Alligator mississippiensis: one gene and its partner. The protein of the gene in region 1 interacts with the protein of each later gene in a pairwise test. Links are inferred from orthologs where the notes say so. Each region holds a gene or a part of one and is shown on either strand. Other genes may lie near its edges.

Region 1 (9,692 bases):
TTTTGAAGGGCATGAAGGAAAGATTCATCAGAGAGAATGGAATGAGAACACAGAAGGAGGAGAGAGAAGTACAACATCCAGGGAGAAGGAGGACGGGGGTGATGAAGGGATGAAGTACAAAGACAACAGTGTACAGAACAGCGGGATTAAAGGAAAAGCAAAGGGAGAAAGAATAAAAGAAATATAGAATGAATGAGTTATATTTTTAGAATATGTTCAGTGAAGAGTTGAACAATGTTAACATGAATATAGCAGTTGAGTTGTTTCTAACAAAGGGCACTGGGACTTTCCCTGATTCCACCGGAATTTGTCCTACTCTATAGATAGAGCCAATCCTACTATAAGAGGGTTCTTCTATGTATGGCTAAGAGAATGCCTCCCGCCCACCTTTAGAATGCATTCGATTGAAACAAATGGTACATATTTTTTTAAAAGTCTCCTGAAGAAAGACAGCCTTGGGTTCTCTGGAAGGTAATATGCAGTACATAGCAATTTATGAGTTGCTTATTCTTCCTTGAATCTCACAACTCAGCCCCAGAGATATCTGGAGTGAAATGCAGGATGCCTTGTGTTCTGGAAAAGTTAGAGGTATTGTGCTTACGTGGGAATCCTGGGGAGTGCATGAAAATCTAATAATCTTTACAATATAGAAAGCCTGTCCTGCAGTTTCCATTACTGTTATTTGTTCCATTACTATTATTTGTTCAGACACATTGTGTTATACACCTGACCAAACTGGCAGTGTTCCCTGCGTTGTTATGGCAGCATTGAGAATAAGTGAGAGTAAAATTGAAAATATGACAGGCAGCCTAGGATAAAAAAAGGTCATGCGGTTACTTGTTATGCACACATGAATTTGCCAAAAGATTGTAGAATATGTACAAAATCTCTGCAATTCTAACATGTTAACATCACCTTTCCTGGTGAAGTGTTTCCTCATGAAACTTCCTATCCTGTCCCCTATTGCTAGCCACCATCCCCGTTCATTACCCAGCATCTAGCTTCCCAAGCAACGCCTGTCTTTTTTTGCCATTCGTCCAAACTACACCCAAGATGCATCATCCTGCAAGCATTTTGCACTTCCTCTCCCTGCCGCCCCCCTCCTCCCCCCCAAATAAAAACTCCCTGCTGACTAGACAGCTGGCCATGTCCCTCTTGCAGATTCAGCCCACAGGATGAGACAGGACATTCCTTTTGTAGTGCTCCAAGCCCAGTGCCCAAAGGTTCTGGCTGCTCCTTTTGAGTTAGGTGGATACAAGTGGCCAAAAATAGGTGTCTGAACATCAGGATCCAGTGGTAGCTGTATTGGCCAGGTCTCTCCAATATCATGCTATGACCCTGTCCCCACCCTTGTTAGGAAGAAACCAACAGCTGCATTTGATCAGACCAAGAATTCACTTGGTTCTGAATCCTGTCTCTGGCAGCAGTCAGAACTAGATGCTGCCTACCTAAAATATCTGCTTTTGTACTGTCTAGCTCAGTGATTCTCCACCAGGGTGCTGTGACAGCCTGGGTGCCTTGAGATCCTTTCAAGGGTGTTGCAGGGTGCCACTCAATGTTAGCACTATTAAGTGTGCACACACAATTCACAAGATAAACCCAGAAATTCAAATAGGAATCCATAGTGGTAAAACCATTCTGACCTGATGTGGCCTCTTTGGCCGTATCTATATGAGTGTGGACTTGTGGTAAGTGACACTGCAGACCTGTCCCATACACTGCACATACAGGCATTCCCTGCACTTTGCAGCGTGGAGGGTTTTTTGACCCCTGGAGACTCTTGGGTTCCCGGATCAAAAAACCCAATGTCAGAAAAAAGTGGGGCGGCACACATGGCAGTGCACACCACCCGAAACCAGAGCCTGGCTGGCTGGAGCCATGCTCTGGCTGCTGGCCAGGCTCTTTGCTGCAGGAGCACTGTGGCTGCAGCTCCTGGAGGCCCCCAGGACCCCAGGTAAGGCACAGTTGCTGGCCTCAGCCTCCCCTACCCCACCCAGTGTAACCTGCCACACACCGGAGCACACTTGGCATGGGCATTCCCTGGGGACAAGTAGCAGCGGCATAAGGTGTGCCACTGCTACTTCTCCCCAGGGAAACACACTGTCATTTTCTCTAGGATTTCTCCATAGTCAAACACAAGTGAACACAAAGGGCTCGCATTTTCTGATGGATGTCTTGAGCCTAGAAGGGGGGACCTTGAGTCTGTCAAGGGGTGCCATGAGTCTAAAAATGGTTGAGTACCACTTATCTACCTCATCTCAATTGCTAAAGGTTAGAGCAGTGGTTCTTAACCTTTTTAGACCCAAGGCACCCCATGTTAAATTTCAGGTACTCATCAGAAAATGCTATTTCGGCTGTCACTTGCTTTTTGACTATGGAAACATACAGCCATTCTTTTATTGCGAAGAACTCAGAAAGACCACAACAGGGTAGAGTGTTTTTAAGGGTACAGATTCCTTGGTGTAATTTCTGGGTACATCATGTCAATCAAATTGAATGAACTAGTAATGGGTGGCCATGCCCCGCAAGTGAACTGCCCAAGTTGCAGTCCTCTAGCACCCCAGGATGCAGTGTCCCTTTCCTTACTCTCCTGTTCTGTGTGGACAAACTTTCCATCCCCTGAACTCTACTGCCCAGGCACCAAGCTAACATCTCCTGCCTTCCTGGGGAGTATGACCTGCCCTCCCCCATGGATACAACCATGCTAACAGCCTACTGTTCCTTCTCCCTCCCCCCCAGCCACATCCCCCCACATATAGAGCATGGCTAGAAACGTGTCCTAGCTCACCAGGACAAGTTGCAAGTCTCAGCAGCAAGTCCCAGCTGTAGCTCTCTGCTCACCAGCCCTCCAGCAGTAAGTCACAGCTGGGCAGGTGGGGAATAATCAGAGGAGGCTTTTAGCTAGAAGGTGTGATTGCTCCCAAACTCAAGGTAGCACTAACCAATCAGCATTTGAGTAACTCAGAGTCCAACATGTAGCAAGGCCCTTTTTCTGCAGCCTGCCTTGCTTCTTCCTGAACAACCCCAGGCATTTGGATACCCCATAGCCTGAATGGTTTCTCAGTACAACCACGCTTGGTGCTAGCCTTGAGGGCAGCCCCAGCCTTTCCCCTGTTCCGGGCCTCTGCTGGCGGCTCCTACACGGAGCTGTTGCCACAGGCATGTATCTGGCATGGTTTACGGATGCTCCTGACACCTGCCCTTTCTGCGAGCAGAGGGAGACCGTGGAGCAGAGGGAAACCGTGGAGCACACCTACCTGGAGTGCACCAGGCTGAAGCCCCTTCACGGCCTCCTTCAGAACCTCCTGCTGGGGTTCTGCCTGCACCAGGAAGGAGGCTCTGGGCAAGAGGACCCTGAGGACTGTGGGACTGCTTTCTTATCCCCAATGTGATCCTGTCTCCAGGCAGAGTATCACTGAGCAGTGTCCACTGGCACCTTGGACTCATTTGAGGGCCTGTGAGTGCTGTCCAGTGTGCTTTGCTTGGTGTCTCCCCTTGGCACTCTTGTTATGAACCTTTGACCTCCACTCCTGTCCCTGTTTTCATTATGATTTGTCCCAAGTAACCAGTCACACATCACTAGTGGCCCCCAGTACTAAAAGAGAGCTTATAGTATCCTTGGTGGGCCATGAAATCCCCTGATGTGTTAAAGTCCTGTCCCTGGTGTGATCCTTTCTCTGGGCAGAGTACCACTGGGCAGTGTCTGCTAGCTCCTTGGACTTATCTGAGAGCCAGTGGGTGTTGTCCGGTGTGCTATGCTTCATGTGCCCCCTTTGGGCACTTGTTTTAAACCTCTGACCTCACTCCCAGCCCTATTGTCTTTAATTGTTCCCAGAAATCAGTTATTTTCTACCTAGCGGCCTCCCTTTTTTAAGGGGGGCTTATAGCGTTCCCTTGTGGGTATTGGCCTGCATTACAGGCTGAGGGATACTCTCAGGGACTGCTTTCCTGTCCCTTGTCTGCCAGGGCTGCTGACTCTGTTTGAATCTATTCTGGGAGGTTTCCAGAACTCCAGTGTGCCCACGACACACAATGCCAACATGCCCACATGCTAGCATATATCAGTTCTGGGTTATGGTTATGGGCATGTAGACTTTATGGCAGGAAGACATGTGCATGTTCCTATTACATTTTAAAAACCCACCACCCTACAGCATAAATTGGATTCAACCTTTAATAATTATTTTAACTAATATCCTATCAGTTATGTCCCCGGTGACTCTCAGCAGTCTCCTGGAGATTTACATCTCATTCCTGAAGGCTCCAAGGCAGTCCTGGAAAGCTGGCAACCCTAAATGTGCCCACTCACCGCTGTCTGCTCAACCCTTAAATGTGTCTGCCCAACCCTCATGTCTGCTCAGCCTTTAAATGTGTCTGCTCAACCCTAAATGTGCCTGCTTACACTCCAAATACATCTGCTGAACCCTAAATGTGTCTGCCCAACCCTTTCTCTGCTCAACCCTAAATGTGCCTGCTCACTTCTGTCTGCTCCACCTGTAATGTGCCAGCTCACCCCATGTCTGCCCACCAGTAAATGTGCCTGCTAACCCCGTCTGCTGAACCCTAAATGTGTCTGCTCACCCCATAAATGTGTCTGCCCATCCCTTTGTCTGCGCAGTCCTAAATGTGTCTGCCCACCCCCTATGTCTCCTCAACCTGTAACGTGCCTGCTCACCCCCCAATGTGTCTGCCCAACCCCAAAGGTGCCAGCTCACTTCTCGGCAATTTCCCTGGGCAGGGCCGCTGGCTCCTTGGCGGCCGGGGGCGCTGTCCATGCTGCCGCGCTCGGGGTCCCCCCTCGGCTCCCTCACTCTGACCCTGTGATCTCCCCCGCCTTTGACCGGGTCCCAAGAAAAGGAGCCGGGAGTTTCCCAGGCGCCGCCTTGCCCGGGGAGGCTTTATGGTTCCTGGCGGCGGCCCCGGGCCGGGGTCCGGTGCAGACAGGCCCGCGGGCGAGGGGCAGCCCCGGGCGGAGGCGGCCCGCGGAGGCCGGGCGTGGGCGGCGCGGCTGCGGCTGCGTGCGGCGCCGGGGCGGGCGGTGGGAGGAGGCAGGGATGCACCCTAAGCCGGGGAGTCAGCTGAGGCGGGGAGAGGCCAGGCTCGGCGGCGTCGCCTCGTGTGCGCAGCGGCCGCACAAGTTTCCTTCGTGCTGCTCCGCGCCCGCCCGGGCTCCAACTTCCCGCCGCGGCGGCAGCGGGGGAGCGGCCAGGCGGGCCGGGCGCGCAGGTAAGGCTGAGCCGTGGCCGCGGGGTGCGCCAACTTCCTCGTCCCCGCTGCAAACTTGGCGGGCCCCCAGCCCCTGCGCCGGGACGCGGCCGCCCCAGCCCCCGCCCCCGCCCCGCCGCTTCTCCAGTCCCCGCCGCGGGGGCACAGCGGCTCGCAGCCGCCTCCGCTGGGGCTGCCCCTCGGCGCTGCTGTCCCGGCCTCTCCCTGGCTTGCCATCGAGAACGGGCTGCAGCCCCGGGCTCGGGCGGGGAGGGCTCGTCTGTCTAACCTTGCCGCCCCCCTCTTTTCTTTTTTCTCCCCCTCCCCCCCGAGCCTTGGAGAAGCGGGGCTGAAGGGACCCGGCGAAGTTAGGCTGCCCGAGGCAGGATCCGACCCATCCCAGCCTCCCAACGCTTTTCTTTTGAAGCTGGGCAGAAGTCTGTATTTAAAGCGGGGTGGCAAGTGCTGATTCAGCAGGCGGCTCTGAAGCGGTGCTCTCTGTGCGTGAAGAGGGGGGGAAAGGGAAGAAATGTTTGGATTTGTTGAACCGGGAGCATATGGCGCTGGCATGTCAGAGCAGCATGGGTCCAGGCTTACTGAGCAGCTCTAAGCGGGCTTCTCGCTGCCCGTTTTGTCTCCTTGAAGGAGAGGGGTGGGACGGAAGGCAAAGTTTGGGTACGTCTCTCCCTCTTTCCTTCAGTTGCATTCGGATGATGGGTTGGAAAGGTTGCTGCTTCCTACAGGGGTGGATGTTTTAATTCTTTGTTGCTGTTTTATTTAACTGCTCCGGCTACAAAAAGCTGCCTTGGTCCACCACGAAAGCTCTAACTTAATTTCTTCTTCCATGCATGGACCTGCCTTATTTACGGCACTGGAAAAGGTACAGAGAAGGGCAGCAGGGCTAATCCCAGGATTAAAAGGAGTGAGTTATGAGGACGGGTTTAAAAAAAAAAGTGTACGGTGCTTAGAAAACCTGACTGGTGTGCCTCAAATGCCAAAGGCTGAATGGTGGAAATGATACTCCTGTTGGCTCCTCCTCTGCAAAGGCAAGAGAAAAGATATTAAGCATGTTCTGCAGTTACGGTGCTCCTTACCTAGAAGGTCTGATGAGAAGAGATGCAGCTATTTAAGAAGCGTATTTTTCTCTTTCTCATCCTTTGGTCTCAAGGTGTGCATTTCTATTCTAACCAATACATCGAACTTTTGATTCTGAAGCTTGCTTTGCTAAAAAAAAACCCTAAAAATATCGATTTGTCTTTTTAAAATGCTGCACAGTGTAGGGTAAACAAAGCTTGGAAAGCAACACTTGGTGGTGTCTGTTCTGAACTATGAATTGATAGAAAGGCAGACTTGTACACCTGCCTTCAGTGATTTTCCCTCCCATACACACACTTTTTTTTGTACTGTACTTCATTTGCACTCTTATTTGCTCTTAGAGGTAGCTTCTGTTTGCTCTGGCTGGGTGTTAGATCTTATGGTACTTCTGTGGTTTTCCTTGGTTTTGATAATCCAAATATTCTCTCCTGTCTTGCTCCATGTATCTGGCTTTCATCCTCTAATCCAGTTGTGACACTCTTTCAATGGTGTTTTGTCTTCTAGTCCAGAAAGCTTTCCCTAATTGCAAAGCGCATCTGTTTTTGGTTCTGCTCACAGAACCTGGCTGATGTCATTGTAGTTTCTTATAGACACTGGGTTTCTTCCTGTATTGCAGCCCAGTGTCTAAAAGTAGCTGGATCCAACTAGCTATGGGATCCCTCCAGCCTGGGGAGTCCCGGGTGGCAGAGAAGTTGTATAACTGTCAAATACCATTTCTTCCAGGAGCTGTTGTAGGATGGGGTGAGAGGGTTGGGGGCATATGACTGTGCTAGCCTGTGTTTCTGATGAAACCCAGTTAGCAGTGTCCTACTGGAGGCTGGTGCCAGCTGGTGTGTACCCCACTGGCTTATGTCTAAATACCACAGTCTGGCTTTGAGAACCAAGCAAAGAGGTACAATAAGAAAACTCATTGTCAGCCATAAGAGAATGACACACATGTTTTTAAGGCATTACATGAACATTCCTTTTAGCACCCTGGATTAATTTAGTTGTTTGGGTTCCCTACGTAAAACGTGTGCGACAGAGTAAGAGCTCTAGGGGGAGAAACTTCTGTAGTAAGGCTAGATTTCTTCACTTTAAAAGTGTTTGCTTGAAAGCGTGCTGAGCAAATCTTACAAAAACTGTTTGAATGTAGTCTCATGGGATGTGGTCGTGTTGCAGTAGTGAACTTTTCGCACCTCCATTTTGACTATCTGATTTAGTTTATTACTAAGGATGCATGGCTTTCAATTATAAGGTCTTCTCTAAAGAGCTTCTTTTCTATGTATGCTAACTGAAGGCCCATGCCCCATATCTGGTTATACCTGTGGGCATCATCCCAGGAATTGGTCTGAGAGCAGCTCCTAGTCACTTTCACCTCTGCACATCATTAATGAGGTTTTGTGACAGGTGAGGGTGGGGCTGTGACTCCTCCCCTTTTGGATCAGTTTCATCCTTTCTAGGAATGAAGCAACCAAAGAAACCTATAACAGAGGTATCAGTCTCAGTTCTTTTCTTTCAGCCTTGCCACTAGTTGCTGGCTCAGAAGCTACTTTCCGGCTCTAACTCAGATGTGACAAGTAAGTGCTGCTTTCCTTTCTCTTTCTCCAGAGCCAGATAAGAGCAACATGGGTGTCATGGCAACATTATTTCAGGTAAATGGATGCCTGATGCCATTGGCCCGTGCTTCATTCTACCTGTTGTTGTTGCTGGTGGTTGTTCAGTGTTTGTTCTGTTTCCATTGCTTCTATCCCACTAGGCTTGCAAATCTACCTGCTCCCAGACCTCGACATACTCCAAACCAGATCCAATTTATCTGCCTTTCTCCTGGCCTCTGTAGATTTGGACATCTGTTCCTTCACTCACACAATTAACTCAGAGTTCAAATCAGGAGGAAAGGAAATGTAAAGGTAATGTTGCTAAGGAAATGTAAAGTATACAAAGGAAATTGGATTCTATTGCCTACATGCCGACTAGAAGCAGGCCGCACAAAGTGACATGACTTATCCTTGTGGGACAAGGCAAGGCCAGCCAGCAGACAATCTTTGACCACACCAGTGCTGAAGCATCTAACATAGTCTGCATTGTCAGACCTTGTTGGATGAAACTGGGAACTCTCTACTAGCTCAACTTGTTCCTCCAGGATAACTACTTCATTGCAGGACAAGGTAGGATAAGAAGCCAGACAGCGGTGCCTTCATCTTTTCATCAAACAGTCAATGCAAGGGAGGTGCCTTGAGCACGAAAATTCAAGCTTAATTCATATGAGAGCAGAAATGATTCGGGTCTAACAGATTGCATGCTCCTTTACAGGTTAGTGCCATCAGTGTTGTAGTTAAAGTTTCATCCTGAGAGACTTTAACATGCTCATCAACAAGTCTGTGAAAATCCAAAAGCTCAGTTGTTCACTGAGACAGACTATTCCTGGTTCAATTCAAGTAGCTGGTCACAATCTAAATCTGGTCCCTTAGCCCAGGGGTGGCCAAATATGGCCTGAATGCCAGATCCGGCCTGCCAGGTGACTGGATCCAGCCCACGGCATCCAGTCACCCTGCATGGGGCCATGCTCTGCCCAGTTGCGTTAGGGCACACTGCACTGGGCTCCCATTGGGCCAGGTCCCAACCTGCGTGGAGCTTCTGGAGGGGCTGTTTTTGGTGTAGCTGAGTACTGTTCTGCACTCTCTGCCTCCAGTGGTGGCTTCTGGATTTGATCTTGCCCCTGCTGTGCTACTTAGTGATGTACTGTGCAACGCCACTCTGGGCAAGCAGTTTCAGCCAGATGGCTCCTGCCCCACCACATGGGGCTCCAGCTTCAGCTCATGGCTGCCTTCTGGTGGAAGGCATCTGGGATCTGGAGCCCCACATGCCTGCCAGGAGTGGTGTGGCAGGAGTAGGAGAAAGAGCTGCTGTTGGAGTTGGGTGGTGCAGAGCTGCACCAGGAACAGCCGGTCAGAAGTTTCTCCTGTCCCTGCTGTGCTGCACCACATCATGCTGTTCTGGGTAGGCAGGCGGGCAGGTGAGCAGCTTCAGCTGGGCTACTGCCCCAGTGCCCAGCCACCTTGCAGGAGGCTGGCTGAAGGGGCAGGATCCTGGTTGAAGCTGCTTGCCTGGAGCAACATGACTTGGCACAGTGCTGCAGGGGCAAGACCAGGAGCAGGAGTTGCCACTGGAGGCAGGGGGCACAGAGCAGCACTTGGCTGGGCTGTGGGCACTGGTGGGAGTGTGGTGCAGGCTGCCCCAGTGTGAGCGAGCGGAGCTCAGCCCCATGCAGAGCACTGTGGGGGCAGTGCGGAGTGCACTGCCTGGGCAAGCTCTGCTGTACGAGGCCCCCCCACCCCACCCCACCCCTTCACCCACAGCAGACTCGTGGGACCTAGTGTCCAGGCAGCCCCCCCTCCGCACTCACGCATGCA
Region 2 (9,883 bases), on another chromosome or scaffold:
ATATGCTACAACAAATCACAAGATGACAAGCTGTTCACATACACCATAAAAAACATTATTTAACATTAATAATTCTTCTTTGATACAACCTAATTTCTTTAAAGTACAGCCTGAGCAAAATTTGTTGCAAGTGAAAAGTTTTCAAGCCAAACCACTTTTGCCAGGCTGAATACAGATCTCAAAACCTGACTTCAAGAGATGGGGAAGAAAGCAAACCTTTGGATAATGTAGTTCATTCCCATGAAAGAGGACACAGATGCCAAAAGAAGATATCAAATGCTTTGTTTTCAAATATCACTTGACGAATTAAAATAAGACATGCCAATGCATTAATAAAGCCTCTTTATTGTGAGAAATGGATATGTCTCACAATAAGGGATGAGCTTCCTGTTACCAAAACATTCCAAAGATCTTGCAGGAAACCTGCACAGGTAGGAAGGAAAATAAAGTTAAGAAGTCAGTTCATTCTCTTGTTTCTTTCTGGTCTAAAAAAGGAACCAGGAAGGGTTTTGTTTGTTTATGCTGTCATCCCTAACCCCAACTGTTTACATTTAAAAATTAAAATCTGATTTATCTGCAAGTCACAGAACATGAACAGGGGATACCATAAACACCAAAGAAGGTACGTCTGAATAATTCAGAGGGAAATGGATAGACTGTTTAAAAAATAACAAGAGCGCTTCAATCTCTTTCATTCAAATTCTCAATGGGACAGTCTGTAATACCTTTTTAAAAAAAAGGTATTTTGATTATCGACTGAAAAAAATACTATTGCCTATTAACTAGACTTTCAAGAAGACCTCACACAAGAGCAAGGAAGACAAAATTTACGTTTTGATATTTCGAATTTTAAAAACCAAACAGAAACTCTAAAGAGTTCGCAATCTAAATACAACGAAGCTGCACGAAAACACCAGTCCCCACTCCCACCCTCAATTCTCCTTTTTAGGGCACATTAATCTAAAGGTGTCAAACTGCTTTTCCCTTGAGAGTGTTTTAAAACACTTCAAAGTACCTTTGGCAGATCTGTCAACTATCAGACAATCTATCCTAAACATTAACACAGATCAATGTGAGCCACAATATGCAGGTGCATTACCAGTCACATCTCAATTGTACAGATCAGTCAGGACGCATAATTTAATAAGACTGTTTCAGAAGAATTTATAACTCTAAACGGCACCATCAACTTTATTTTTCTTCTTCCAATTTTAGCTTTAAGAAATCCTGAGTTCCTGCTGACACCCTTTTCAAATAACAGTTCTCTCAAGAACTTCCTGCTTGCTTTACATTCCTTTGACATGCATACTCACAGGGATATTCCTGTCTTGGTGCACATGAGACTTTTCACCGTGCTCAAAGTGAACTAATTATACAAGGAAAATTGTGTGCATGCACACGCACACACGCGTGTGCGCACACACAAACTATATACAAAGCAAAACTGGATGCAGGTTGGTGTGCACAAGACGTGGAGTCACTCTTCACCAACTTTTCAGTTACAACAGCTTTATATTTAACTATGACCAATACAAGCTTTTCACAGAAAAGGTTGACTTCTAAGGTTTTATATTTATTGGATATTTTTTAGATGAAAAACTCCTGCAGAACACCTATTTTTAGGCACCCTGCAAGTCAGTGCATTTCATGAAGCAAGAATCTTCAAGGCATTAAAAGAAATAGTTTCATACATGTGTTACAATCCTTTGAAGATGCCTTATTCCCAAAGTAATGAGCAGTAAACAAAGACCGCAAGATAAATATTGAAGCAGAAGGCAGAGCAGAGACGAAGCTCATAGACTTAAGTCAGAGGTGCATATACTTTTGTGAGCCTCAGCTCATTTTATTAGATGCTTTAGATAATCTATAGTAGGGGCTAGCAACCTATAGCCCGCAGCCTGCATGCAACCTGCAGAACCATTTGATGCAGCCCACCAATGCGGAACTTCATCAGTCATACTAACCCAGTTTGGGTCAAAGATGGACATGTGGAGGGCAGGCGCTAGGGCCAAGTCACTGCTACCATGATTTCTGGCAGCAAGTGCACAGGGAAAGCATGCACCACAGCCACTGCTCCATGCAGTGGCATGGAGGGTCCGCAACTGGTGCTTTTCCCTGCAGCAGCAGGGAGCTTTGACAGATTTTTAATTCTATATTTTGCTTAAAAAAGAAAAACTAGACTAAGATGTTCAGAAAAACCTATGCAACAAATGTGGAGAGAAATTATCTCTGTGCATGTCCATCTTCCCAGACAGCATAGGGCTCTGCCCAACTCCTGAAGTTATTAACAGAGTCAGATTTAATGCAATTTTCTGAGGCAGTTGAAAGAGGTCTCCAGACATCAGTGGAGACAAGAGTATGAGTAATACGTAAAATGTCATTTACAGCAACATGTGCCATTTACATGGATAACACCCGTTTGCCATGTAAAACAGTTTACCAGGCTGCAAATGCTTGCATTTTACTCCCTTAGCCTGACGAAGGGTTTTTGAAAGCTGCTTAATAAATATTCTCCAACTATTTGGGTTGGTCTAATAAAAGATATCAAATTCACCCAAGGAACCTTGTCTGCATTTTACTCATGTATTCAGTGAGAAGTCCATGCTGTGGCACATGCTCCGACTGCAACTCCCTACAATGAGCCAACACTTACACAATTATTTTTAAGAAATTCTCCCCCTATAACAATGCTTCTGGTTATTGCTGCTAGTGCTAATGGGCTGTAGTTGTTGTTGCTGTTTTAAACTCTATCATCAACTAAAGTGGCTAAAAGAGGGCTCGATAATTAAGTACAAAAAACAGATGCCTCATCTTTCACTGCTTCTAGCAGCAGAGATGGCTGCATTACCAGGAGAGTTTAAAAGTATTAGAGACCAAGCTTTCTTTCCTCAGCTATGTTAACATTTGTGGAGAAGGGCTATCACACTTCCAGCAAGCCTCAACAATTAAAAAAAATAACCTTAAGAACCAAATCAGCAGAATCAGGGAGGAAGGAAGGAAGCCTTAGGTAGCGTTTAAATCACAGGTTACTGGGATGGTTTGGACAGAGATGCACCCTGCCTTATGCAGGGGGACCCGCCTGATGTGACCCTGCAGGTCCCTTCCAGCCCCACTGCTCTGGGAGTCCAGGATTCAACCCACAGAGGCTCTGCATGGGGTTGCTCCTGAGGCATGAAAGGCAAACGGCAGGAAATAAAAAGTTAGGAAGAGGCACAAAAAAAATACCCAAGTGAAAGGCACTTCAGGCTCCCAAAACGCAGCCCCAGAGTAGGAGCACGGACGGCTGCCAGAGGCGCACAGGAGCACGGGCCCGGGAGGACGCGGGGCTGAGACCTGCCTCGGACCAGCGGCCACCACGCGGGCCCCGAGGGACGGCTAGGCCCGTCCTGCCGCGCGGAGGGAAGGCCCAGGCCCAGCCCTGTCGCGGCCTCCGTGCGGCACTGGCAGACCGCAACGCGTCAGCGGGACGAGCAGGCCGGGGCGGCCCGGGGAGCAGCGGGCGCAGCAGCGTCCGGGCTCGTCGCCCCGCGGAGGCGTCCCCCGCCCCGCGCCAGGCAGCAGCCGCAGGCGAGGCCGGGGTCGGCGCGCGGCCTAGGCCTGCAGCCCCAGCGCAGCCCCGTAACGGAGCGGAGTGGGGCAGGAGTGGGTGGGGGCCGCCTAGGGGGAGAGAGGCAGAAGCGGGCGGGCGGGGCGGCGGCACTACCTACGGTCCCGAACGGAGAGTCCCACGGAGCCGAAGCGAAGCCTCAGTCCCAACAACACAAGATGGCGGTCGCGCCGCCACGCAGAGTCACGTGACCGGGAGCCCCGCCCCCCGCGGGCCCGGATGGACGCGCGCATGCGCCCTAGTACCCCCCGCCTCGTGGGGAACGACCCGACGCTGCTGACGTCACGCGCTGGTGCTGCTGTGCGGGGACCCACACGGCCGCCCGGCCGCTTGTGCGGGCAGCAACGCGCCTGACCCCGCTGCAGACCCGCGGCACCTGTACGGCGCAGCAATCTGGGGAATCGCCTCACACACCGGCCACGTGCCAAGTCACCCCATCAAAACCAGCCCTCCAGGTGGCTGGAGAGCCGACCGGCTATGGTAGAGCTGGGCATTAATTACGCCTTGCTCTTACGGGGCCAGCTTCATGGCTGGGACGGAGCCCGCGAGTCTCCGATAAGCAGCGTCCTTCGGAAACGCGCTAACTGCATCTGAACTGCCCAGCTGGTCCGTGAAAGAGATCGCCCCCAAAAACGCCTCGCCTGGGCTGTCATGGCTCCTGGGCTGTCACAGCTACGACCTGGCTCCGACAGGACCGCGCTGCGTTAAAACGTGGGCCGGCCTCACCTGCCGTGTACAAGAGAGCAACAGTCCCGTGGCCACCCACCGCCAGGCCTGCTGGTGCTGTCAGGGCACTGAGGGTCGTGAAGACAGGCTGGGACTGGAAGGCCTTGGTGTACAGGGTTTAAAGCACAACAAATTGATGGTCTGTAACCAGATCCCAATGACTCTGTGGTCCATCATAACTGTCCTGATGTAAGGGGCCTAACACTGATACTCCCCAACTCTCAACCTTTCTGCACTTAAGGCACCCTTCATTTGATTCAAAGCCTCCCTCAAAAAATGTGAACACTTAAATTTTCCCTCATTTTTTACTACAGAAAAATAATAGAGCAGTTTTTCTGTTGCAAAGCACCCAGAAAGACCACATTGGATGAGAATGTCCTTAATGCTATAGATTCCTATCTGTGAGCCATGTTTGCACAGATAACAGTACTAACATCATGTTGCACCCCATAGTACCCTTGAAAGGATCTCAAGACACTCGGTTGCCCTAACCCCTGTCTCACTGCCCTAACCCCCGCAGTTCATAAGTAACAATAAGCCTACTTTTTGTTCCATCTGCTTTTTAGCTCAGCTATGTCTGCTTCTGGCTCAGAGGCCTGAGAAAGGGTACTGACACACCCGATAGCTTGCCTTGGTGTATACAAACTATACTGTTGGTCTAATAAAAGATATCACCCATAAGTATTCTTGCAGATCCCAAATGTTATCTGCTTTTGGGTCAGTAGGAGTATAGGGCAGGGCTTTCCCAGCTAAAAATAGTCGTTTATTTATAGTCTTAAAAACCATATTAGTACTTGATGCTGGCTATTTTAGTCATAAAACCTATTTTTAGCTATTATGCAACATCAAAGGAATTACCATTTGCAGCTGGAAAAAACATTCTTTAATCAAGAGTTCTGGCCTAAACACATTTGGTTTTTATTTCAGATCTTGGAAGCTGGTAAATACCTGATACTGCACACTGAATGCTGGCCCTAGATGACACAACAGTGAACATGCACAATTTTCTGAGCTAATGAGCTAAAAAGGCTATTGGTCCTTGAACGTGTTTTGAGTTCACAGCAAAATGATAAGACTAATCACATTCCAACAAGAATCTTAAAACAAAGCTCCTCCCTCGGAGTGTGGCAAGAGAAAGCCTAGCTGTAGCAAAGCTGTAAATTTCTGGCCTGTGACTACTTGGATTTCAGTTTTCCTAGCTTCTTGATAGTGGTTAGAGCAGCATGAAAAAGAGATCATGGAGGGAGGGAGGCACCCCACATTTCAGAACAGGAACTTGCAAGTTTACTAGAGAACATTGTCCCAATGCATTTTCTTGACAGATCAGTTAGATGATGTAAATAACTCACGGTATTTTATTCTGAGGGTTCAGAAGTGGCCTGTGACTCATCTGGGAGAAATTTAAAGTTGGACCCTTTTTTTTTTTGGTTAGAGAAGCCCAAATACATTTTCAAGGGATGTTTTAAACTTATTTTCTCTGCAGAAGTATCTTTTCATAATATTATAAGAAAATTCAAACAGCACCTTTGTATCTTGGTAGATTTGTTCCAAGGTTTCCATTATGGTCAACCACAAACAATGACAGACACAAAACATGACTGTTTAATCCATTGCTGACCTCAGAGCAACTGTTCTTAGACACCACAACTTTAAAAACTAGCTTTAACTGGAAATTGCAGAAATCATCTACAGAGCAGGTTGTGTTAAATATGGTTCAAATCAAGACTATGGATTCTTATCCCATTATCTTGTTCAGCTTTTAGAACACCTATGTCCCTCAATGGTTTAACCACTTTGTTTTCCTCTCTTCTATTCACCTTGCATCTGCCAGCAGTGCCCCCTCCTTTTTTCCTCCTGGTTCCTGACCTTTGTATTCTAATCACTGCTTTCTATTTGAAGCTTCACTTCCTGCAGTCCCTTTATAGTATCTGATGGAGTAAGCCACTGCTTACAAAAGCTTCTGCATCTATAATTTATTTAGTCTAAGGTGCAAATCTACCCTGCCTTCTGCCTATGTGGCTAAACTCATCCATGGTGTAACTATAAAGACGACTACTGGTTACTGTAGGTCATTATGTGGGTAGAAATCCTTTGGAACACTAAATCAATTTGATTGCAAAACTGGGAGAGTGAGGTAAAGGACCTTTAATTAACTAAAAGCACCTTTATTGACCAGCCCTTTTCACTGTGTCCTAGCTTGATAGAAGCAAGATATATCTTACTTTACAATATGTGTGGAGCTAGGAACTACATAGCCTTTGAAAAGGAAAATAAGTATCATAAAATATCAGTGTTTAAGATGCAGCAGTAAATATATCTCACCAGCCTTTGTTTTGATTATAGTAAAAAGTACTTGTTCACCTGTGATTGATAGCACATAATGTTCCCAGCAGGCCAGAAACACAGAAGGGTTTATTTTCAGTCACTGAGTTAATTGCCAAGATGGCAGAAAGGAAATCATTCTTTGGAAGTTCCTCCAAGTTCTTGAGACCACGTAAAACCAGCTTCCTGGGTAAAGACCCAGACCAGTGGTGCTCAACGTCCAGCCCACAGGGCTCCCCACAAGTCCATAAAAACACAAAGCTGTCAGTCTGCTTGATAGTCTTTCAATCAAGCTCTGGCTGTTTTCTAACAGAGCAGAACAGAGCGCTGCCAGCTGGTGTCCAAGCAGGAGTACAGCACTCTTCTTGGGGCTTTGCAGACCCCTGCCCCACTAGCCACATGCTGTTGTTGCTGCTACTGTGTCCGATCCTGCAGTACTGTGGGTTGTAGATGGGCACCCGTGTTGGGATGGGGTAAGGTTGGGGGGAGAAGCACAGCGTAGAGTGCAGTGGGGAACAGTGAGGTATGAGAGCAAGCAGACAACCCCTGGCTTGGAAGCACCATGGTGCAAAACCATTGCTGTGGTTGAGCAGTGGTGCCAACCCAAGGATATTTATATATAAAAGTGTTTTATACATGTATAAGTATATATATTTTATACATATTAAAACATTTTTCCTGAAACTTTTTATTGACAATTATTTATTTATTCATTTATTTTTACTATGTTTGGTGTTAAACCCCCTAAATATGAACCCAGTCTTTCTAACTGGTGCATGGCAACAGGGCAGGGCTCAGCTCAATAATTACATTTACATTACATAAAAACATACCAGTATTAAAAAAAAAAAGTGTCAGTAAAAGAAAGTTTGGTTGTCAATAAAACAACAGAGAGACAAAAAGCCCAAGTTTCTTGGGCTAGCAATCCTGAATGGCACATCTGTATCAACCTCAGATTAGGGAACCAAATCCCTCATGTGTAGATGAGCTTCTTAAAAATATCCCATGATGCAGAGCCATGTGCCTGACATACAAAGTATTTCTGCTTCTATACAAAGATTTAAAACTTCAGCTTCTGGCAGATACTACCACAGGTGTGTGTCATGTCAGCAGTGGAACCAAGTAATTTAATTTTGTCTAAAGTCCAGTGTATTTGGTGCAATACAGTGACAAATACATCTCTGGCCCTACATTTGCCATGCTTTTAAAACTTATTAACAGATTGTTTAATATGACAGTTCTCAGACAGCCACACATGGTCAGTCAAAAACCCAGTACTGCAGTCTCTCTTACAAGCAGAGTTGCATCCATCGATAAACATTTTCCACAGACCAGAGTAAGAAATGCCAAGTATTTTATTCCAGAGAAGGTTCCAGTCCTGGCTCCCTGTCAGATGCTTTTCATCCCCTGGCCACAGAGCAATCTACATCTTACTTTCAACCTCTATAATACCAAGACTTTTGAGGAAACCAAGGCAAGAGACAGGGTTAATGACTAAGAGGGTCACACTGCATGGTCCAGGCAGTTGTGGTATTTGGATCTGGTGAACCATCAATGCAGCCACCAAAGCCAGCTTACCTGCTGTACCTGACAGTCTCAGAGAACAAAATCAGATCACATACCTCATATCTAGGTTCAGCTTCATTATATCCACTTGGACTTCACTGGTTGGTGCACATGCACTCCATACATGAGTGGCTGTTTGCTTCCTCCCTGCCCTTTTTTTTTTTTTGCCACCAGGATCTTATGCTTCTGTCCTTCCATCTGAGGGCATAAAGGCTATGGGCCCAACCACCCCTCAGTTCCTTTACCAATATAGAATCCTCAAGGAATAGGACACCATGGTAGAGGGGAAATTGAACTTTTTATCCCTCTTAAATGGGCAGTATTTAATACCTTTATACAACACCAGGCCTTTCTGGATGAAAAACTTTAGCTTTTGCATAGCTAGGAAGTTATGCTGTAGTGGAAACATTATAAGTTTGAGGTAGATTTATCTGCTTCTCATAACTGGAGTTGTGCAGTGTGCAGACATTTGAGACTTACAGGATCAGTGCTGGCAATTCTTGAATACAATGGTATGTCTGAGGACCTAAGAAGAGGCACTGACAAGACTGTGGATAAAGAAGGCTTTATTTATACATTTTAGCAACAGCAGAAATAATCAAAGATGCAGTTATCTGTTTTGTTTTAAAGTATAAAAACATTATAAATATTTAGCTAAAAAAGCGTGATTTATAAAATATAATATGTGGAGATATATACACAGTTTAATTGTTTAGCAGTTCTCCCACCTGACATTAAAGATCAGACATTTTTCTATTTATTATTCCATGCTCACAGTTTAGTGCTGCTCACAGTTTAAGAAGCAAAATAGGCAGGTGAAGATACAGAGCAGCAATCTGGTATGCGCTGTTCTGGAAGGAAGACAGACTGGGGCAAGAGCTGAGAGGAAGAACTTTCCCTTTCTTGATGGCCTTCAGTATATATAAAAAAAACTCATGGTGTTCTTAAATTTATGGATGCCTTTCCTGTACTTATGAAATACACCACCAGCTAGAGTCAAGAATAATGCGAGTTTTCTAGACTCAACTCTGTCCAATACACTTCTGTCTTGACTTGAAACTTATCAGTTATTCCCTTCCTGAGCAGAAATTGTTTATAGTGTGCCAGAGTGGTTTTATATAGTAGTGACTATATGAATTTGTTTATGACTTCAGAACTGAAGCAGATTTCTAGAAGTGAAGGACTAGTGGCACCATCCAGCTGTATTGCTGAGATGACAATTTCTTAGAGACAAATATATCTCCTTACTTCTTAAGAGTTCCAGAGCTGGAAGACCTCTAGTGAGGCCATGGAGTAGATGAGTACAGAATGAATGTGACAGAAGATGTATGGTCAAAAAACAAAACAAAAAACAGACCCTCAACTTTCTATTACTTAAGGTGTTGCCATTTTCCTCCTGCCAAAGGCTAGGGTTACCAGATCTATGAGGAAGTCCAGCTTCTTACTACAGAGTTATTAGGGTATTTCATATACTAAAAGCTAGAAGCCTCAGTATATGCTGTTGGGCAGCAGAAAGTATTAGACTTACAATTCATTTTATACACATCCCTCTTCACAGAGCTCCCACAAAGCCCGTCTTGAGACTTTGCAGGAGAAAAGAATAAAAGTAAAGGATGTGTGACAATGCCTGACACCCAACATTAGCAGAAACATACAGGAAAT

The links.
Region 2: the proteins of GRB10 (region 1) and GIGYF2 interact in a two-hybrid assay, tested with the Homo sapiens proteins (2 studies listed by BioGRID). The link is inferred for Alligator mississippiensis from reciprocal best matches to the Homo sapiens genes GRB10 and GIGYF2.

The regions. Positions count from the first base shown.
Region 1 is NC_081828.1:91,956,278-91,965,969, forward strand, and holds the start of GRB10 (growth factor receptor-bound protein 10), read left to right. Parts: upstream 1-5,070; 5' UTR 5,071-5,226; intron 5,227-7,801; 5' UTR 7,802-7,859; intron 7,860-9,692.
Region 2 is NC_081830.1:38,590,901-38,600,783, reverse strand, and holds the start of GIGYF2 (GRB10-interacting GYF protein 2), read right to left. Parts: upstream 3,804-9,883; 5' UTR 3,708-3,803; exon of another isoform or gene 3,704-3,707; intron 1-3,703. UniProt on the Homo sapiens protein: Key component of the 4EHP-GYF2 complex, a multiprotein complex that acts as a repressor of translation initiation. In the 4EHP-GYF2 complex, acts as a factor that bridges EIF4E2 to ZFP36/TTP, linking translation repression with mRNA decay.